4 linked regions of the Saccharomyces cerevisiae S288C genome follow. Changing the gene in region 3 together with the main gene of any one other region gives a genetic interaction. Each region holds a gene or a part of one and is shown on either strand. Other genes may lie near its edges.

Region 1 (4,635 bases), on a different chromosome or scaffold from region 3:
GACTGATGCCCGGTGTATAGAGAATGGGTAGTTAATATCATCTAGATGGGGTTTCTTTGAAAACACCAGTTTCTTTGAGGACACCAGTTTCAGTGCTTCTCTCTACCCCATCAACTATTGCACTCCTACCTGCGTAATAAGTATACGAAGTCTAAAATAGTGGGACGTCTTGCTTTTTTCGGTAGTTTTTCGTTTCGATAAAGGCAACAATGCTGTATATTGTATGCAGGAAGTTCTTAAGGAAAATACAGGAATCTTTAGAAAAAGAATAAATAGCTTTCCATTGTATCATGAACAAGTCACTCTTCATATTATATGTCGTCGCTTCTTATCCCTTTAAGTTATGAATTGTTGAGCTTAGGATTTTACCACAACTGAATAACATTTTCTTTATTCTAATAATCGATTTTTTTTAATAAGATTAGACTTGAGTGCCATCAGCAAAGAAAAATACTTTTAATGTCCTTTTTTTAACTCTACACAGAATTTAGTTGGCTGTTTCATTGATTTACAAAAATATAAATATATACCGTTAAAATTATAGCGATAAACTGAGTATGTGGTCTCTCTTTTCCCGCAGAATATGAAAGCTTTTCTTTTATAAATCTTATAATATTGGTCTCTTTTTGGTACGTTTGGCAAATTGGCATTCATTTATCATGAAAAGAACAGGAACTATATTACTTGGGTATTGCCCATACCAAAAGAAATTAAAGATGAGGCACTGCTAGATTTACCGCTATTTATGGTCCCAGTTGGCGAGGGGAACATTCCATGGTTAATGAAGCTTGTCTTGGGTGGGCCCCCATTGAGGTAATGCGCCGTTGCGGGATTTTGGTTTTCCTTGTTAGACTCATTTAGGTTTAGCAAATCAATATAATCATTGGTTGCGTTATTGCTGTTAGGACCCGTGATTTGTTCGTAGATCCTTTGTTTGTTATTTGTATTCACCAGACTATTCACACTAACGGTGCTACCACATATACTGTTTGACTGCTGCTGACCAAATTGGTACATACTTGGAGTGATTGGTGATGATTGTTCCATATTCCGGCTGAAAACGCTGTTATCAGAGAGTGAGCTCATGTTTCTCATTGGAGTGTGGCTTTGAGATGAGGAAGCGGGCGAAGGAATGGATGTGCTATTTGAATTTTCGAAAGAGCATGATGGGGTTGATATGGTAAGCTTTCTCGAAATGTTCAAGTTGGATGCAATTTGCAGTTTTCTTTGTAGATCCAAGTGATATTCTTTCACTTGATTAATGAAGGGTAGAACACCATTGACCGTTTTATACACTTCCATCAAGGAGTTAGGAATGGAAACAATGCCGTTCATTAAGGTACTCAAAATTTCACCATTTTTGCTTTCTGATGTCATTGGAGTCATTAAAAAAGGACCGTGGTCTTGATTGGTGAATTGATTGATAATGGAGAATATGCCGTGCGATACTTCGAAAAGTTCATATCTAAGTAAGTCGTACTGCCACGCGGATACATCAATCAAGAATTTTTTCAAATTAATCAACTTGATCTTTAGTTTTAAGTCTTCTTCTTCTTCTTCTTCGTTTTGGTAGGGCCTCTCGTCTACAGTGGCATCACTATCCTGGGATAATTGAGACTGACGTTTTTCAGAGCATTGTTTGTCATAAGTAACTTGATTTTCATAAAGTTCGTATTGCATCAAACAATTTTCATCAACATTTAAAACGTAATCATTGATCATTGGTTCATAAATGTTCCAATTTAAAGTGTCTAGTATATGTCTTTCCATTTGTAAAAACATTGATTCATCAAAGACCTGACCATCACCACAGTAATGAACTAGTTCAGAGAGTCGAGGTATACGTGCCCTTGGGTTGGGACCATAAAATCTTCCGCCAGTAGGGATGACTACATTATTGATGATGTGATTACAACCGCCCCAAGTTTTAGCAGCCAACCAGAGACAAGTAGCGACAACCAATTTGGCTTGGTCCCGTAACACGATTCTCTTGGAACAATAGCGGTCATATAATCTAACTGAATGAAAAAAAATACCATTTGTCACTCGAGTGACCACAGACAGCTCGAACAAAAAAGTGATAATGTTGGACCTTGTTTCCACGGGGTTCATTTCAGGCTGCTGGTCTATTAGTTTTGGATTAGGTTTGAACTTACATGATTGAGCAATAACATTGGTGGAGATTTCTTGGTGGTATTCTTGCAGCATTTCGAAGTGAGAAAGTAATTCTGCATTAGATAGCTCAATCGGATAGTAGTCCGGTTTAGCATTGATGACGAGTCCCATACGGGGTCTTGGTTCAGCACTAGCCATTGTCTGTCGTTAAATTTAATGAATGAATGGAAAAAAGAAAAGATTTTCTTTTGTATGCAAATTATGATGTGGTAAGCGAATGAATTGGCAGCTATAGAGTCTAGCAATGCTGTATATAAGAAGAAAATTTGACGATGAAGTAAAGTAGATGTTAAAATAAAAGTAAGTTGTCCTTGATATTATCTATTGCCAATTCACTAAAAAACCAGTAAGAGGAGCATAATAGTTACCAGAGTCGATTGCTATTTTTTTATATATGAAAGAGATAGTAAGTTAAACAAGTAGCCAGAGGCTGCGTGCGATACGCAAATAGAAGGCGGATCTGCGTTCTGCGTTTGCGCAGGCCTTTTTTCCTTTCCGTTTTTCAGTAGGCCTGTCAGATCAACATTTCGCAGGTTAGATCCTCAAAAAGGGCCAACAGTTGTTTCAGTTGGTGTTCATTTCAATTTTTAGCAGTTATACTTAACAGGCTACGCCAAATGTGCTCTTCGCTAGGTATCCGCATGCGGAAACATAACGGTTTTTGGCGCGTTTCGTGACTAGAACACGCAGTTTTGAGGTTCAGCGGGACGAATTTCGTGTACTTCCGTTGAGACAAATTTCGCGATGATTTCCGTTTTCGGAAAGATGGAGCCGGGTAAAGCGCGCATGAATTGATAACTTGGCACTTTTGAACCTCAGTATCATTATTAACAATGTATAGTTGCTTTAGTTCGCATTTCAGGGTAAAAGTGCGGAGGATACGAAAAAGATGAGATAACTTACAGAAGGAAACGAATAGTGGTTTCAAAAAATGCCTTTCACTCGTAGAGAAAACAATAAAAGTTACCGCACTCCAACACAGGCGATACTGGAGGAATATTTTCAAGAGTAAATAGAAGCAAAGATGCTTAAAAATGGATACTTGAACCAATTTTTCTGTAGCGGTATATTACGCTGCTCTTTTAAAATTATTTCTGACGCGACCCGTTTTTGTGTCGCTCGGTGAAAATCACGAAAAACTTGACACTTTGAAAACTAATACAACATAAAGAGACTGAAGACGAGGAAATCAAAACAACGAAAAAAGTCAATCTTCGAAGGAGCATAGAGGCGAATGACTACTGAACAATGAATCAGGAAGACAACACGGGCGGAGGGGGCATTTTTGGTCTTTTCAAATGGACTAAGGATGCGCTGTTTGGTACGGACATATCACCTTCAATGAAATATAAAGATCAGGAAGAACGAAGAGACCGATCTAGGTATGCCCAAGACGACACAAATTTTTCTATGAAGTTTGGAAATGACTCCAACAGGAGGAGTACAAACTTATCGAGGTCAAATTCGTGGTCTGGTCTGGATTCAACGCTCCATAGGAAGTACGAGTTACTCCCAGAGTACAACGAGAACGGCTTTAACTCAATTGTTAACGGTGACCACCACAGCAAAGAGAGAATACGATCTTTACGAAGTCCTGCTCCGATAGTACCGAGAGAACCACTTCGTAACGAACCTACGGATACATTTGGTCACAGACTACACACAAAAAGGAGAACTATAAATGAGCTTTCCAATTCGCAGATACCCTTTATACCACCTCAGGAAGACGACCCTTTGCTCTCGAAATTATTTAACAAGGATGGAGTTAATGAGGTTAGAAGATCGCCCTATAAGTTATCGGTTAAAGATATACCAGGCAAATTTCCATCTCCCTTAACAAAACGTGATGAAATAGACAATTACTATGTCCGGGACGAAGATGCTTGCCACAAGAATAGAGAGTATAAAAAGGCATATTTTGATCTTTTTGCACAAATGGACTTGAACAGTAGAGACCTGGAAGATTTGTGTGAGGATGTTAGAGAGCAGCGTGAGCAATTCCACAGGAATGAGCAAACTTATAAGCAAGCATACGAGGAAATGAGAGCAGAACTGGTCAACGAGTTGAAGAAATCTAAGACACTCTTTGAAAATTATTATTCATTAGGTCAGAAGTACAAGAGTTTGAAAAAGGTCCTTGATCAAACGATCAGTCATGAGGCTGAACTGGCCACTTCTAGGGAACGGCTGTATCAGGAGGAGGATTTGAAAAACTTTGAAATACAAACATTGAAGCAAAGACTATCCGATTTAGAGCTGAAATATACCAATTTGCAAATAGAAAAGGACATGCAGCGGGACAATTATGAATCCGAAATACATGATTTATTATTACAGCTTAGCCTTCGTAATAACGAGAGAAAAGATACTTCTGCTGGTTCGAATATTTTTTCAACAGGACAATAGGACAGGACTCCATTCCACAATGGAAATAACAGTTACGACTCTAATTCGCATTCA
Region 2 (5,337 bases), on a different chromosome or scaffold from region 3:
GTTATTCAATTTTGTGCAATGCACATATTTGTTAAAGAATTGGAAGTTTGGAAACATTCAAGCACAATGAATAATTTCCATATCCGTTCGAAATCTAGTAAAGGGATATTTCGAAGTTTAATAGCGCTGTTTAACACTAGAATCTCTTATAAAACAATTGACACAAATTTAAATTCAACAAACACCGTTCTCATGCAAATTGATCATGTTGTAAAGAACATTTCGGAATGTTATAAATCTGCTTTTAAGGATCTATCAATTAATGTTACGCAAAATATGCAATTTCATTCGTTCTTACAACGCATCATTGAAATGACAGTCAGCGGTTGTCCAATTACGAAATGTGATCCTTTAATCGAGTATGAGGTACGATTCACCATATTGAATGGATTTTTGGAAAGCCTATCTTCAAACACATCAAAATTTAAAGATAATATCATTCTTTTGAGAAAGGAAATTCAACACTTGCAAGCATATATATATATATATATACATATAGTTAATTAGTACTAATAATACATGAAATACTGACAGCTTATGATGCTGATAAGGAAAATATTGCCGCAAACTTTGTAATAAGCCAAAAGCACTAATCTCTTTTCCGTTAGCTTTCATAAAATTAGTGTATTTAAGTAAACCCCGGCCCAAAATATGCTCTCAAATTTGCTTCATCCTTCTGCTTTCTTATCCTTTCTACTTCTTCAAAGCCTCCCGATTTTTTCAGGTTTGAATTACCCACAAAATTTTCCAGTTCATCATCAAATTCATTACTAGCTTTAAGTTTTCTTTCCATCTCCCACATCTTCTCAGCCTTGTCAATAGCTTCGACCCTACTATCGTGGTCAGGGTTTAAAGATTGGACGGCCACCATAACTTGCTCCCTTACCTGATTAAATGTGCCCGGTCTCATAATAGGCAAAATAGGATTACTTTTTGATCTCGAAGGGTTTTTTTCTTGTTCTTCACAACATAACTTAATAAGATCGAAAGTTTCTAATGCCTTACCCAAGTCTTCCTTCAAATCTAAAATCAACTCTTCCTGCAACGTGAGAAACTGTTGTTCTTCACAGACCTTATCGAGCTCAGCTTCCCAAGTTTTTTTCCAATGTGGTTTTTCAGTATCAATAAACTCCTGTAGTTTAAGTACATCTGCTTGGGCATTTTCTAAATCCTTGGATACGGTTTCTAGCTTCTTTTTAGCGGGCTGAGACCTACGCTCAGCAACGTCTTTCCTCATAATTTCGATTACATCTTGCAAATCATCTACTTTACTTAGCAGAGTATCGGATAAATCACCGAGTTCGGTCTGTGATTTTTCCATGTACATTCTGTTGGAAGAGTTTTTGGCAGAAAATGATAAAGACTTAAAGTTATCGACCTTTCGTAAAATGTTGAAAATAGTCTCATTAATATTTGACCTATTAATATTATGCACTTGTTTTATTTTCCCCAATTCGTACTGAATATCTTTGATCGTTTTATCATCATCTTTTTTGTTTTGCCCCACAAGATCGTGTTTGTTAGCTTCAAGGCCAGGTTGTGGTAAAACTTCCGTTTGCTTGCCGCTAATTGCAGAACCAAAACTCATTTCTTTTAAATGTCTTATTATATCATTCTGACTATTCGATATCTCCATCTTAACTGTGTCAATGAATTCCTTGATCGTATTATTTGGATTCTCTTCGAGCTTTAGCTCGATAACAAACCCTTCTTTAATATCGAGAAGATTTAGTTCCTCTAATTCATAGAATACTCCATATTGAGGATCCATAATATATATGTCTGGGAAGGAATTTGCTCCAGGAGAATACGCAAAGCGCTCAATAAATAGGAGCCTTAATGCGTTTTTTGTAGTAGGCAGTTGCACATGACACTTCTTTGTTTTGTCTCCTATCCTTAAAAATACTGGACAAGTTCCATTCATGGCTTTATCTGGCGAAGTTGTAACAACGCTTGATAATCTTCGTGGAGATGCACGAACATTCTCAATAGGCAATGGCGTTTTCGCCAATGGACTCGCCTTTGATACATCGTCAATGCTTTTACCCTTATTTTCAGCTGAATTAATGTTTCTATCATCATCATTGTTGTTATTTCCGTATAACTTTGACTTTCTTACGGTTTCCTCTAGATGCAACATCGAGGGTGAAGGAGTTGTCATGAGGCCGGCAGCCGCAGCAGCTTCTGTTGTAGACTGATTTGTCAATTTAGCCATATGGTAGGCAGAGTATCTCTTTGAGGCTCTCCTTTGTAAATTAGTTCCCTTCTTCAATTGTGAAAGTGCATCATCATCATCAGATGCGTTTGGAGCATTGTTAGATTTAAGGTTTTGTTTAATATTAGTTCTTGGTTTTGTCAATGTTGCCTCTGCTGACTGAGCAGAGGGTGTTCCCGTAGAAGTAGAATTCACTTTTTCCCCATAGCTGTTTTCGACTGAATCGCTTTGCCTCTGATCACGTACAATACTGCTTTTTCTGCTACTTAATGGAGTCCCCTCACGGGTCCCTTCACTACCCAATGAAAGGTTACTAGTAAAGGAAGGGTTTTGTTGATGATGTGATTTTACACTTATCCGATGCTCTTGCTGCATATTCTTCAAAATTGCTTGTTTAACCTTTAGTTTGTCTAAAAGTGTCACTATAATCTCTCTGATTTTTGGCAGATGTTTATTTAAAGTTTCATCAGATGGTGGTTCCCTCAATGTCACTTCCAATACACGTCTTAAAGCCATTGGCACATCACCAACATCTGACATGTCAACTTTCGCATGCATGAAGAATTTCGATACGACTTTGAAGTCATTGCCCAACTGAACGTATGCATCAGATACTAATCTTCCAGAGGTTGTCCCCTTAGACCATTGTGTTAAGACCTGGAGGAGGTGCTTGGTGGACATCAGCAACTTTGTTACTGTCGTTTCAATACTACTACTGCTAGAAGCAGTTCTTTTAATCTTTGGGGTGCCATACGTAGGGTCATCCACGGCCATCTTCATCTAATTTTAAAATAATACGAGGATTACTACACCAATTTGGCAGCCAGCTTCTACTCTTTTTCCCTTTTCTTGGGTTTGTTTTGATGCCATTATCTCAAGAATGCATAATAGTAGGATAAAATTCGTTCAGCTCGGCTAGCGAGATATCTTCAAAGAGTAAAGCGCATCTGCGTGTAAAATTAAATTCAAGAAGTGAAAGAATAAAAGATAGGATTGTAGATTTGAAGTTTAGTGGTAGCGTCAGCAGATAAGCTTATGGATGTTGATGAACCGAATCCTATTGTGATATCAGATTCTGAGGCCACTGATGAGGAAATTAGTATCATATACGAACCCGAATTCAATGAAAATTATTTATGGGCAGAGGAAAACGTCCAAGAAGCAAGCAGATCACAGAAAATTGTCACTGAGAGGTTGAGCCTGGATTCCACTGCTGGAGAATCTTGTACTCCTTCCGTAGTAACTGATACACAAGTTACTACGGGGCTTCGGTGGTCTTTGAGGAAGAGGAAGGCTATTCAAAAGATGCCATACAGTTTAGAACGCATAAAGCATAGGCAGTTGCTAGAGGGCTATGATATCTCTAGTTTTGACAGCATTTCGAATCAGTTGACCTTACCGAAGAACGCTTCTACAGTGATTCACTCAAATGATATTTTACTTACAAAGAGAACTGGTAAACCCTTAGATGAGCAGAAAGATGTTACAATCGACTCCATTAAACCCGAAAACAGCTCGGTTCAATCTCAAAGATATGATAGTGATGAAGAAATACCAAAGAAAAGGCATCGTACTTTTAAAGACCTCGACCAGGATATAGTATTTCAATCAGGTGATTCTACGGAAGATGAACAAGACTTGGCTAGTACAAATTTACAGAATACTCAAAATGACGAAGTAATATTTAGAGGAAGAGTATTGAATGTAAGAACTGGTTACCGTGGGGTCCTGCCAAGAGTTGCTTGGGAAAAGTCGTTGCAAAAGCAGCAGTCTTCAAAAGTCACGAAAAGAAAAACTCAATTATTGAACCATAAGGGTGTGGCTAAGAGGAAAATGAACAGAAGCGCCCATATTGAAGATGAAGAACAGAACTTATTGAACGATCTTATTGCACCTGATGACGAACTGGATATCGAGGAAAACGCCCCTCCAGATATATACTTAGGAAATCTTCCAGAGGATCGTGAGGCTAACGAAAAGGAATTAAAGGAATTGCAAGAATATTATGAGAGCAAGTATAGTGAAGACGCACAATCGGCTGGAACTTCTGGTTTTAATTTAAATGAGGAATACCGCAATGAACCAGTGTATGAGCTGGAATATGACGGACCGGGGAGCTGCATATCACATGTGTCTTATAAAGACCAGCCTATTATTTATTTGAATTCACGGCATTCAGATAGCGGATTTAGTGAGCAATACAATATATCTGCCGAAGATAATCAAAGTGTAATTTCCCTAGATGCTGCTGAAGAGCATAACGATGGTATAATTGACAAGATGTTGGTTAAACCTAAAAGAATTAAAGCAACCAATGATGCCAACTTTTTGAATACAAAAAGTAAGAGAGTGAGAAGATATAAGTACAAATATCGAAATTCTTGTCTGGCCCCAAGTACAAAAGCTATCAAAGTCGGAAAACGGTCAGCGCATAAATCTCATTTGGCAGCTAATAATCCAGTTTCATTTGTTTCTAAGAAGAATCATGTAATTGATGATTATTTTTTTGAAGAATTAGAATCTCAATCCCTAGAACAGGATGACAGCTCTTCTCTCAAGCCACAGAAAAAAAGAAGGAAGAAGAAAGCACCTATATACTCAAGTTTCTCCGCTGATCTTGAATCGAGACGAAAACCAGTTTTCAATACTGTTGTAGAGGTTCCCACGAACCGATACGCTTTCACAAAGCCAAATGTACGTAATAGGGACAGCATTAATCATGACATGGAATTTGAGGAAGAAGACTCCAATCAAGAGCTTGGACCAATAATGGTCGTACTTGACTCAATTTTACTAAAAAAACCTTTTGAGCCACCTAATTTCTTCAAGATCCAGTTGTCAGACAAGAGTTTCTTGCTATCAAAATTGAATCCTGCAGATATAGCTACATCATTACAGAAAATATTCAGAGTAATCATTGATAAAGGTATCACTGATACTGAACTAGTTCACTTTAACGAAAGCCTTATTGCTTTTTTGGTGCACCTTGACATGCCTGAACTATTCGACTTAATAGGTGAATTTCATCGTGAATTTAGATCGAAGGTCAATAGCTTGAGGAAAAAAGCTAAACCAATCCATTTTTTTCAAATTGCGGCATGCCAATTAATGTTTCTAGAAAT
Region 3 (5,442 bases):
TGTGGTACGTTTTCTGAATTGTCTCAAAAACTATCTTCGTTCGATTTTTCATGTATATTTGGATCCACCACAAATCCTCGCTTTCAGACAAAATATAAGTGCTCTTTAGAGTGCTTGCAAGATTTGGTTAATTTTATGTTGAACACAAACGAGAAATTAAGAAAGTTAACTGCTCCTTATCTTTCTGCAAGAATTGCCCTTGCTCTTAGAAGATATATCTCAGATGAATACTTGATTGGGCGAGCACCAATACCAAAATTGCGTAAAACAGAACTAGCTACTCTATTAAATGGGCTATGCGTGATTTTAAGAGGTGTTCTAGATCAAAATTCGACCCTTGGCAACAAACAAATTGGAGTTGAAAACCTACAAACATTAAGTCCGTTGATTTTAAGAACCATCCCAGTATCTCATAAAATGGATGGCCTCCAAGATAAAGTTTTGGAATTATCACTTGGATTTACGAAACTAGACTAGAAGCTGAAGCATGGACGAATATTTTTAAAAATCACGTAGGATAAATAGTAATATTAAACGACATTGGATTGATTATTGTATCGTTGCAGGTCTTTTTTTATTTACTTTAAAAAAAAAACTTTTAAGGTGAACGTATTTATATATTATGCCATTGGTATGCATAGCTAAAAGAAAAGAAATACATAAGATTGTAGTATGTATGATATGCTTATAGAAATAGTTGTGTGCTTCATTCCTTCCACTCCAACAGTGATGTCAAATCCTTTGGATCACATGCCATATTGAAAAAACCGTGGTGTAAAAGCTCTTCGGTTGATGCCCTATATCTAACATCTACGCAAAGGCAAACGCTTAGAAAGCGTTTAATTTCTAAAGACAAACTTTCTGGATGCTTGAGCTTTGGTGTACCATTAGTTGCAATTAAGTACAACGCCTTTAGTGGATCTTCATTTAAATATGGTGGTTCACCCTCCAGCATTTCAATGGTCATGATACCCAAAGACCATACGTCAATCTTTTCATCGTATTCACGTTGTTTGACAACTTCAGGTGCCATCCAGTAAGGTGTCCCAACCATAGTGGCTCTTTTGCTTCTTTTATCAGTTAATCTGGCGCAAAACCCAAAATCGGTAATTTTCACCCTAGCTCTAGTGTCCAGCAAGACATTATCTGATTTAATATCCCTATGAATGATATGCTTGTCGTGTAGAAATTTCAAGCCTTGGCAAGTTTCTCGTACGATATATGCAATTTGGGGTTCTGTTAGTGGTGAATGTGAATTATCGTTGGTGGGACTATTCTCGATAATGTCTGTTAGTGAACCTCCTTCCATAAACTCCATCACAACCCATAGGTCATCGTCTGTTCTCAAATAAGCCTCGAGAAAATTGACGATATTTTTATGACGTGAATCCTTCATAACCAAAATTTCATTCACTATGAGTTCTTTACGAGGTTGTTTAGATAAGACCATTTGCTTGATAGCAACTTTATCTCCTACGTGCGGCTCATCAATATCATTGTTTATGAGTTCGATCATATTACTTTCTGTCGGAATATGCGTCCTCTCTGCAAGGTAGACGGACCCACTTGCACCTTGACCGGCCTTCTCGATCACTTTAAAGCATTGAGATGGATCCGCATTTACGGTGACTTTCTTCAGCTTACTCATTATTTCTGCAGTTGACATGGTAGGCCTTGCTGGCTTCTTCGGTTTGGCCACACCACCCGGTTGTGCGACATCTGCATCCGGTCTCTTTGGGGCCTGCCTCATTGTTTGTGGGGTTGACTGGTCATTCTTAGGTGCAACAGGCTGTACATGTGTGTTACTAGTAGCATTTTGATTTGATGGGTATGGCGCCCTTGGAGCTGATATTGGTGGCTTTGGAGCTGTTCTTTGAGGTTGAAAGTGTGCGGCTGTAGGACTTGAGTTTTGTGCATAACGTGGAATTGCTTGGTTTTGGGTCGACTGTGAACTTAATGGCGATTGAGGTTGTTTGGAATAAGGATTTATCATATTGTGATGTGGCCTATAAGGGTTTAATGGAGACGGAGATGGGGATGGAGATGGAGATGGTCCTTGATGGTGGTATGGATATTGTTGATGCTGTTGTTTTTGTTGCTGCTGCTGCTGCTGCTGCTGCTGCAAAGATCGTTGAGAATTGTTTGGATGCATAGGTCCCCTAGGAAATTGGCCATTGGTTGGGGAGTGTCCGTTTCTCATCTTAGGATATTGTTGGTTGGGAACATTTTGTAAGTGTCTTGGAATATTTGACTGACTAGTGGGCAATTTTGTATTTATTGGTGGCAGTGAGCCGCTTCCTAGAGAAACAGGCGATTTGGTATTTGGTGGTTGTGAGGTTTTCCTCTGTGATACCATACTTGAAGAAACGCCTGAAGATGACTTTGAATTTACTGAATTATTTCTGAGTTTGTTATCATTATAGCTGTTTGGCAGCGATTTTTGAGAGGAGGAAGTTTCACCACTTTGAGGCTTGTCTAAAGTATTTGTGGGATTTCCGGCTCCATTATACTCTTGATAAAACTGCAACACTTGAATGACAGCCGCAGAATTATTGTTCCAATCTTCTCCTGTAATTCTGGAGTGCTTTAATAATTTTTCCCAGTTGGTGGGCATACCAACAAAACTACCTGTTTCTGGATCAAAACCAACGTGAACTTTATGTGTGAAGTTTGTTGGAGAAGATACACCACTTAATAATGGACATTTAGCAAAAATGGCGTCTAACCAACTATGCAAATCGCTTTCTGTCTTTGTAGCAATGTATATTGATTTTTTGGAGTTACTGTCTGATGATACATTCAAAGAGGACGAGGATCCTGATGATACAGAATTTCGGTCACTGCAGCGCACCAACTCAAAACAATATTGTTTCAACTGTGTCCTGCTTACACTTATAATACTAGTTAGTGGTATCTTCAAGATCGCATCGTCATTTTGTTTATCGTTCTTGTAAAGGGCTACATACGAATCGTGTAGCATCAGGTATCTCTTTTGCCATATAAATGAAAGTATACCGTCATCTTTGTAGGACACCCACCCGCTTTTTTTTTTGGAGGTACTTGTACCTAAATGGGACGCTGATGTTAAATCCAGTTGACTCATAAGTTTGGTTATAGGTTGCGTTTGATTATAGCAAGTACGGCCCTGGCTATTTGAACTGGGAGGTCTAGGTGCCGGTCCGATATTTTGGAAATCGTTGTCAGATATCTTATTCGCTGCAGCTGAAAGAGACATATTTTGCACTATTTCTTTTATGTTTCAGTTTCACTGTTCGATTTATTACACCAAAGAAACCACCAGGAATGAATGATAGCAAAAGATGCAATGGTTTTCAGTAGCGCAGTACGTTCGATCGAAATAAAGGACTTAAGGTTTTGATCTTATTAGCAGCAGAAGCAAATAACTGGCAACGCTAATACATGTACAAGGCTCAGGCTAGAAGGTTCTTTCAAATTATGTGTCTCGAATCAGACTCTCCTGCACGTTCCATACTATGTTTCTATCATGCCAGAGATGAAAAATTTCGTCATCTTACCGGCTCGAGAAAATTTCCATATCGGGAAACTATCCTTTTTTGGTGGCTCTATATTTCCGGAAAGGGAAAATACCCACGCGTTTGATATCATTAGCTTATTGTTTCACTTGGACATCGATGTGGTATTCTTGTATAAATAGTAAATAGTCTATAAGAGTCTATATTGTGTTAAAGAGCCTGGCCTTTAGAGAGCCAGTAGTCCCTTCTCGTTTGAGCATCTACTGTCTTAGTTTCCAGTGGTGATTTCTCATCTTGTCCCGAAGGGGTATCTCTTCCTTTTTGATCTTGATCGGATTCTTGATCATTCTCAGAAAGTCCCATCAAGTCATCTATGCTGAGGTTGTTTTGGTGTAGGAGAGAGCCCTGATCAGTTTTTTTCACTTTGCGTTTCAATTTGCTTCTGCTCACTCCAAAATCCGGAGGTGGAGATGGAATGGCACTCTTTTTGATTTCCCCTTCTCTCTTATCCTTTTTTGCCTTCTGTTTCTTCTTTGCAGGTTCGTCAAGTTTGTAGATCTCCTCTACTGGCAAGTCTTCGGTGTCGTTTATAAATAAATCTTCTTGAACTATCCTCGTGCGCCTCTTGTGGTAGCGCTCGTTTTCAATGATGGCTTTATTCTGCACTAAATCTCTTTCGTCGTTGAAATCTCTCTTTTGCCCACGGTATTTGATCACGTTTCCGAGTATACTTTTTCCAACGCGGTCTTTGAATGTAGCAGAATTCAATTCCCAGCATTTATTGACCAACAGTTCGAAGGCACCAGCAAAGGCCTTTTTTATATCCTTCATATTAAAGGAGCCTCTGCTTATATTATTGTTAGGATCACCAGGATCTTGAATAGCTAGCGAGAATTTACTCCTTGAAGGTTCCAAAGTTCTCCAACACGATTTAGGAATATAAGAGGCGTAACCATCAGATATGCTTATAGCAACGTCATCATAACCAAAATTTTTTCCGTAAAGTTCGAAGAAGTCAATCAGTAGAACACCCAGGTTATCTAGAACGTCGATATCGTTTGATTTTATTCGCGGATGCATATTTAAAAAAGAATAAACCAAACAGATTACTGTGAAACCTCCCAATCCTCCTGTGTGCACATTGTTCAATCGTCTTGAATGCAAAAATTGTTTTATTATCAGTACCAGTTCACGTAACCCTGGAGAGTCTCTTAGCCATTCCCTGATGAGTTTTGCAGCCTCTAACCCGTTCGTTCTTTCAAATGAAACGTCGATATGTAACTGTGATTGGGGCTCTATGAATTTGATAATAGGCACTCGCGTTTTAACAATAACCTCCATTCTTATAGCTAGCCCTTTGTTTTTCAAATGTCTCGCCAATTCATAAATGTAATTTCTGTCCTCTTTATCGCGATTCCGGCTGTTTACGACACAGTCAATGTCAGAACCCGGCAAATATAAATCGGTGGCAAAAGAACCAAACACATGCAAATCTGCATCCGACCACAGTTCCTTGACCGCCCGGCGTAGTTTATCGATCGTTCTATTTCTGCACTTGATTTCGTTCTTGCTTGGAGAGATATAATGAACGAAATCTTTGATTTCTGAAGTTAGCCAATCTGCTATTCTCCTTTGTTTCGAATGACAATGATTTCTTATCCAAGGATACTCCACATTGCAAGCGCTTTCAGTGTTCAGAGATTGCTGTGAAGTAAGCTTAGAAACTTCATGTTCATCGGTCAACAGAAAACTGCTTCTTTCATCATCATCTTCCTTTATTTGTTCTGTTTCATCTTCAGAGCTGTCCGAAAAAGCAATAAAATCTTGATTATCTTCGAGAGAATTGTTTCTTTTGCTAGATTCTGCCCTTTGTTCATCTTCACTTGATGTGACTTCTTCTATTACAGGTATGTCGACATCACTTTTATCATTTTCCATTAAGACTAGG
Region 4 (5,716 bases), on a different chromosome or scaffold from region 3:
AAAACGGGTTGGAAACAACTAATGCAAGTAAGGTTATTTTCCCCTACCCTGGTAAAGCTCTGTTTTGCTTCAGATATTAGAAGTTTATCGCCAAAATATCTGAAGACTCGGCCTTGCTGTTCAGCAACGTCTTCTTTTAACCTGGACGCAATGATATCCTTATCCAAATCTCCAGCATCAAAATTGTTGTACTCGTCGATTGTTCTTTCCTTGAGATTGTTTAAATCTTTTTCTTCAGCGTTCCTATTATCAGTTAAAATGTCATTAGCTTCGCTTTTCAGATTCTCCAGATATTGCTTTGCAAGCCTCCTTCTTTTATCGGCTGGATTTTCACCCTCGAATTCTTCTTCAGATTCCAATGCGTCTTCTTCATCCGAAACTTCTAGTTGTTCATCTTCGTTTGAGGATGGATCTGTGATTTCTTCGTCTACTGTGGGTTTTGATGGATTAACTTCTCCTTTGGATCTTTTCCTCTTTTTCTGTTGGGTAACATCTGACATCTTTTCTAGATTTTCTATAATTTTGAAATGCTAAAGAAGAAATAAAGAACTTTGAATTGATGCTTATTTGAATATTTACGGTACAGGACCAGGTGTTACACTGTTTAATCAAAGCTCATCTATAAAATGTCATCTCTTTTTTTTTTTTTCATATTTTTTCACTTTTTCCTTTCGCGAAAATTCGCAAGGACGCTTCCAGCTCAGATCATGTTCAACGTAACTCTTTATTATCGTCGCATTCAAAGAAATATATGTTAATGTGGGAGCATTTTGAACGATGATTTGAACAAATGAACAGGTATCAAATAATTGTCTCTTGCGTATATATATTTTACATTTTTTTATTTCAATTGCTGTTCATATCTAGCTTCCCTTATATTATTAATTTTTTTAACGAGAGAGGGCAGCTCAGCTCTTTCTGATATCTTAACGGCTGCAGTAAGTGCTCTATCTTGTTTTAATTCATGAGCAAGCGAAAGAGCCTTTTCAACATTTTGGTCTGAGCATGCAGACGCAAATAAACGTAACAAAGCCTTATCATATGCACCGTTCAATGCTGCCAATACCTCATTTTCGTTGCCGTACATTTCACCGTCATTTTCGAGTGTATCTGTCAACAGCTCTGACAAAACCTTGCTGCGCAGATACTCTTCTTCCGCCGCCATAGAAACAGGAATCTGTATTTCTTTGTCTTCTTCCCCTTCTTCCGCTTCGGTGTCAGCTCCAATTTCGTTCTTTTTATTTAATATAGCTTTGTTTTCCTCTAGTAATTTACTCTTAACAAATACTGGCATTCTAATCTCCATTTCGGATGGCAACGGAAGGGGAAACTCGGGCCATATATGCTTGCCCTTAACTAAGATACAATTCAATGTGTCATACGCCAAAGCCAAGGGCCAGACATGTATATCTGTCGTTTCCTTCCCTCCTGACATCTTCCATATTTCCATGTTGCTATCTAGAATAGGGAGCCATTTACTTTCTTCTGGTGATCTCCACTTTGATAACAATAGAAGCGTGTTGTCGGACCCAAAAATGCATGGATCTCCGTAGCTTGAAAAGAACAAACTTTTGATGCCCATCGGATTAAAATTGTAGTAGTCAAGATTTGCGTCTTTTTTCATATCAGAATTAATGTTTGGTAAACTCATTGGAAGTGGACACTCTCTTTTATAGTACCTTTTACTAGAAGTACCCAATTCAGATAAAGAGTATGAAAGGCCATGAAACTGCGAATAATGTACTGAAAAAACCCTATAATTCTGAGCAGTAAGCGCTACAATTGGGGATGTCTTTTCAACAGCAAATGGAACCCCGAATTGATTGAAACTTCTGAAATAGCCTAATGATGTACCAACAATAACGCGAACCGGGGTGGCTGCCACACTTGTTATTCTCTCACCAGCTTGCAAAGGAATAATCTTGGTCCAGTTTGAATGTATGCTATCGTGTGGCCTATATTGTATCTGCCCAGTTTTGGATTGGCCAAATAAAGTGCCTTTTTCATTTAGGAAGCATAAATCGTAGCCAAATAAGTCCTCGAAATGGTATTCTCTAAAACGTCCAACATCAAAAAAAGAGACAGTTATGCTGTATTGCTCACTATTCTTGACAGTAGATACGTAGCCCACTTCATTCATTGTCAAATAACGCCTGTCAGTAAAGCCAAAAGGTGTTCCCGCTGGAGAAAAAGGCATATAACGAAATTTTCCTGTGTTTGCCAAACTGATTGGAAACGAATGAGTCTTGTGTACTCTCGAATAAGAATGTTCATTATGTGGTTTTTTGCCACTAATATAACCAGCACCATCGTCATCATCAATAAAGTCTTCTTCATCTTCGAAGTTGTATTTTCTCTTTTCACTTAATCCACTGGGGCCGTCGTGTGTTTGAGTGAACACATCTTCCGCATTCGCTTCTTGAGTAATATCTGAAAATAGCTTATCGCTTTTGTTTATATCATCATTTCCCTCTAAGTTTTCCAAGTCAGATTCGGAGTCTACAAAAAGCCCATGTTTAGTTGAAGATTCAGCAACAGATTGGTCAGGTATATTAGATACTACGGACTCTGCCAAATTTTGGACAATGGCTATACTACCGGACCAGGTACCTAAAACAAGGTCTAGAGTTTTTGAGTCCGCTTGGATTTTCCAGGCAATATTAGTAATTTTTCTTTTGAATTCCCTGGTGTAGTGGATCTCGGAAGTTTCCCAATTCCATACCGTTAACTTATTATTTAAATCTACTGCCGCAATGTAAGTTCCACGTAACGGGTCAAATTGCAAATCAATGAAATGAGCCTTTGTTGATGAGAGATTTGTGGACAACGTCTTTTGTAGGGAATATCCCTTTATAGAGAATATTTTTACTGTATCATCTGCACATGGTAGCGCAAAATGCAGACCCTTCGGATGCCAAGCCACTCTCGTGCAAATTCTATTAGCAGCACAGAATTCTGGATCAGCTACATTGTTCTCATCTGGATCAGCCGTTTCACTCAGGTCATTATCATTGTCTTTATCTATATCATCCATCATATTCGAGAGTATCTTATCTCTGTGTGTATCATCATATGAATTGGCCACTATGTAATCATTTAACTCATGAACTTTGTTTGGAATAGTAGATGTCAGAGAAAAAATTTGTACCTTACCATTTATCATTGAAACTGCTAAAATATTCATCTGTGAATTGTAAGAAATTTGAGAAACTTGTTCATCGATTTTAATGGCATGTTTTTTGTGTGTTTCATCGTCCAATTCCAAAAGGATTAGTTCTAAGTCGTCTCCTCCAAATACGGCCATTTTACCTGAATGAATAACACAGCAGTCACGTAGGGGTAAAGCAAATCTAGCCAATAATTCTTCTTGACTAGAATCGATGTTATACCTAAGAGCATCACCTTGCATTGTAGTCATCAGAAAGTGCGAGTTTGAATAGCATTTTATAGACGAGACCAATTTGGAAGAATCTAAAGTCTCTGGCTCTTCTTCTGGGTTATTTGTCTTCAGAATCTTGGTTAAGCCATTTTTATTGGCTACACACAAAGTATTATTATCTGGTGCGAGAGAGACCAGAGTTTTCCCACCAAAGTCAAAAACAAGCTTGTCTATAACTGAAACCATAATAGTACGTCTAGTATATTTACGTCACTTCTTGCCCTTCTCAATTATTTTTCCCAAGCTTTCTTATTAATTTAATCTATATGTTCCCATATGTTGGCGTATTCAGGAAACTTTATTACGCGTCGCGTTAAACAGTTAACAATTAATCATTAGTGGAAATTAACGAATCTTAGTGAAAACACCCATTCTCCAGGTGAGATTCTTTCAAGTATCAGGCAAACTACGATTTCACCTAATGAATATCACAAGACGTTTTGAATAATTTTCTGAAGCAATTATGAAACATTATGAAGATATATACGAATATGGATAAGCCTTGTACCTGTGATTTTACACTCAAATTGGACATAAGTAGTACATGAAGAGGATGATTAATTCATCCTTTAACGCGCTTGTTCGAAAATCCTTTGAAACCATGTAATAATATATCCAGATTTTCGGCTGACTTCTCATCAATGTTCATCATCGTCGTTTCGTCGTCTTCTAGACCATTTAACCAAAATTTCATACTCATTGGTAGAGAAGAATATGTGTGGTACAGCGACGGTTCAAAGTGAATTATATTTGGTCCGTATTGGCCGTCTTTCATCCCGACTGATGGTGTAGAATGTTCATCGACCAAAACATCATAATTCCTTCGGCACTGTTCTTCCTCTAACCTGAAAAACTCTTCACTAGATATGTCCACGCCTTCACCTTCTGTAGTGCTAACGTAACGTACCGGCCTCTCAGCAAACAAAAGGTTGCTGTCCCGTTGGAGTTGAAGGAAAGGAGAATCATGCACTTCTACTTTCCCATTCCATCTATCTAGCAGACTTGAATATTTCTGTTCCAGGTTATCATTTTTCTCTTCGTTCGTTTGGACACTAGTCATCGTGGTTAGAGTGGGTTCCTCACCCTTCGTATTCATTATGAGAGCTTTTAAATTAAATAAAACCGTAGCCAGCTTACGAATATCAGATGAAGCCAGTACCAAGTCTAATTTCGGTCTTGTTCTCTGAAATGTGCCATTATTTACTGCGAAAGTCGGCCTTGCATACTTAATATTGGAGAATGTACTCAATTCTGCAGTTATTCGGTTATTCCAATATAGTTCCTTCGGTGGGTATACTGTTTGATAGAATAATTTTAACTCCACAAGTATGCAGTTTTTTCGAAGAAAGTTAACTTCAGGTAAACCCATATGTGCACTGATTTTCTCTTTTCCTTGGTTATGCGTAATAAAGGATTATTTTGTATCGCAACCTTCAATTAAGGTTATCACATTTTAATAATAAAAGCTGGTAAAAAAAGCCGAAAAATCTGCCTGGACAAACATACAGAATACGCATATATACAAGCGAAGAAAGGAGATTTAGGCTCATTAGAGCAGTATCAATTTTTTAAAAAATATTTACACGTCTTTCTCTAAACTATATAAGGTGGGGGGCGCAAATTGACCATTATTTAATCAAAAGCAAATACAAAAAGAGAAACATATTTTAGTGTCATTCATAGATGCAATCTTTTTTCTTCAGTGGGGAATTATTTCCATTGCTTTTTCACCAAATGCCAGATCATTGGGGAAACCCAAAGAAACGCAGCCACATAAGCGGCCTGTTTCAAGGTTTTCTCAGTTTGTTCTTGATGAGCTCTTTTCTCCTCTTCGGAGACTTCCTGTTGAGGTAGACCAAACATTTTATACTATCTAGTTATTTGATGCCAATGGACGCCTTTTGTGGGAAACTGCAATTCGCTAATATTGGTGTAACGCCTCTAGAAAGAAAGAGTAAACTTTCGAATTCATTTCTTGATTTTATGATGTGCGGTATTCTTCCAAAGAAGGGTAACAAGAAGGTTTTTTTCTCTCACAATTTCTTTGAAGGGAAGTTTTGGAAGAGTTAACTGTCAGCTTCATTGCCCAGCATCTTTGTTTGATAGCACTTGTAAAGTATATGCAGGCCATATCAAGGGAGTTTATTGTCCTCTGAAGTATATATAGAGGAACTTTTAGTAATAAAAGGCAAAAACATATCAATTAGCAATGAGTACAGCCGATCAAGAACAACCCAAAGTGGTGGAAGCGACACCAGAAGATGGGACAGCTTCCTC

The links.
Region 1: mutations in CLA4 (region 3) and CLN2 are lethal when combined (synthetic lethality), as found in Saccharomyces cerevisiae (5 studies listed by BioGRID, with this or other methods).
Region 2: mutations in CLA4 (region 3) and BUD6 together harm fitness more than expected from each alone (negative genetic interaction), as found in Saccharomyces cerevisiae (6 studies listed by BioGRID, with this or other methods).
Region 4: mutations in CLA4 (region 3) and CTF4 are lethal when combined (synthetic lethality), as found in Saccharomyces cerevisiae (5 studies listed by BioGRID, with this or other methods).

The regions. Positions count from the first base shown.
Region 1 is NC_001148.4:64,302-68,936, forward strand, and holds CLN2 (cyclin CLN2), read right to left. Parts: upstream 2,314-4,635; coding exon 676-2,313; downstream 1-675. Other genes in the region: BBP1 (Bbp1p), read left to right, coding at 3,424-4,581.
Region 2 is NC_001144.5:768,690-774,026, forward strand, and holds BUD6 (formin-mediated actin nucleation enhancer), read right to left. Parts: upstream 2,996-5,337; coding exon 629-2,995; downstream 1-628. Other genes in the region: EST2 (telomerase reverse transcriptase), read left to right, coding at 1-507; MMS22 (Mms22p), read left to right, coding at 3,251-5,337.
Region 3 is NC_001146.8:66,708-72,149, reverse strand, and holds CLA4 (serine/threonine protein kinase CLA4), read right to left. Parts: upstream 3,236-5,442; coding exon 707-3,235; downstream 1-706. Other genes in the region: MON2 (Mon2p), read left to right, coding at 1-477; non-canonical poly(A) polymerase TRF5, read right to left, coding at 3,705-5,442. UniProt on the Saccharomyces cerevisiae protein: Involved in budding and cytokinesis.
Region 4 is NC_001148.4:797,143-802,858, reverse strand, and holds CTF4 (chromatin-binding protein CTF4), read right to left. Parts: upstream 3,626-5,716; coding exon 842-3,625; downstream 1-841. Other genes in the region: ribosomal RNA-processing protein RRP9, read right to left, coding at 1-500; MSS18 (Mss18p), read right to left, coding at 4,002-4,808; TOM5 (Tom5p), read right to left, coding at 5,150-5,302; transcription factor SPN1, read left to right, coding at 5,649-5,716. UniProt on the Saccharomyces cerevisiae protein: Accessory factor for DNA replication. It plays a role in accurately duplicating the genome in vivo.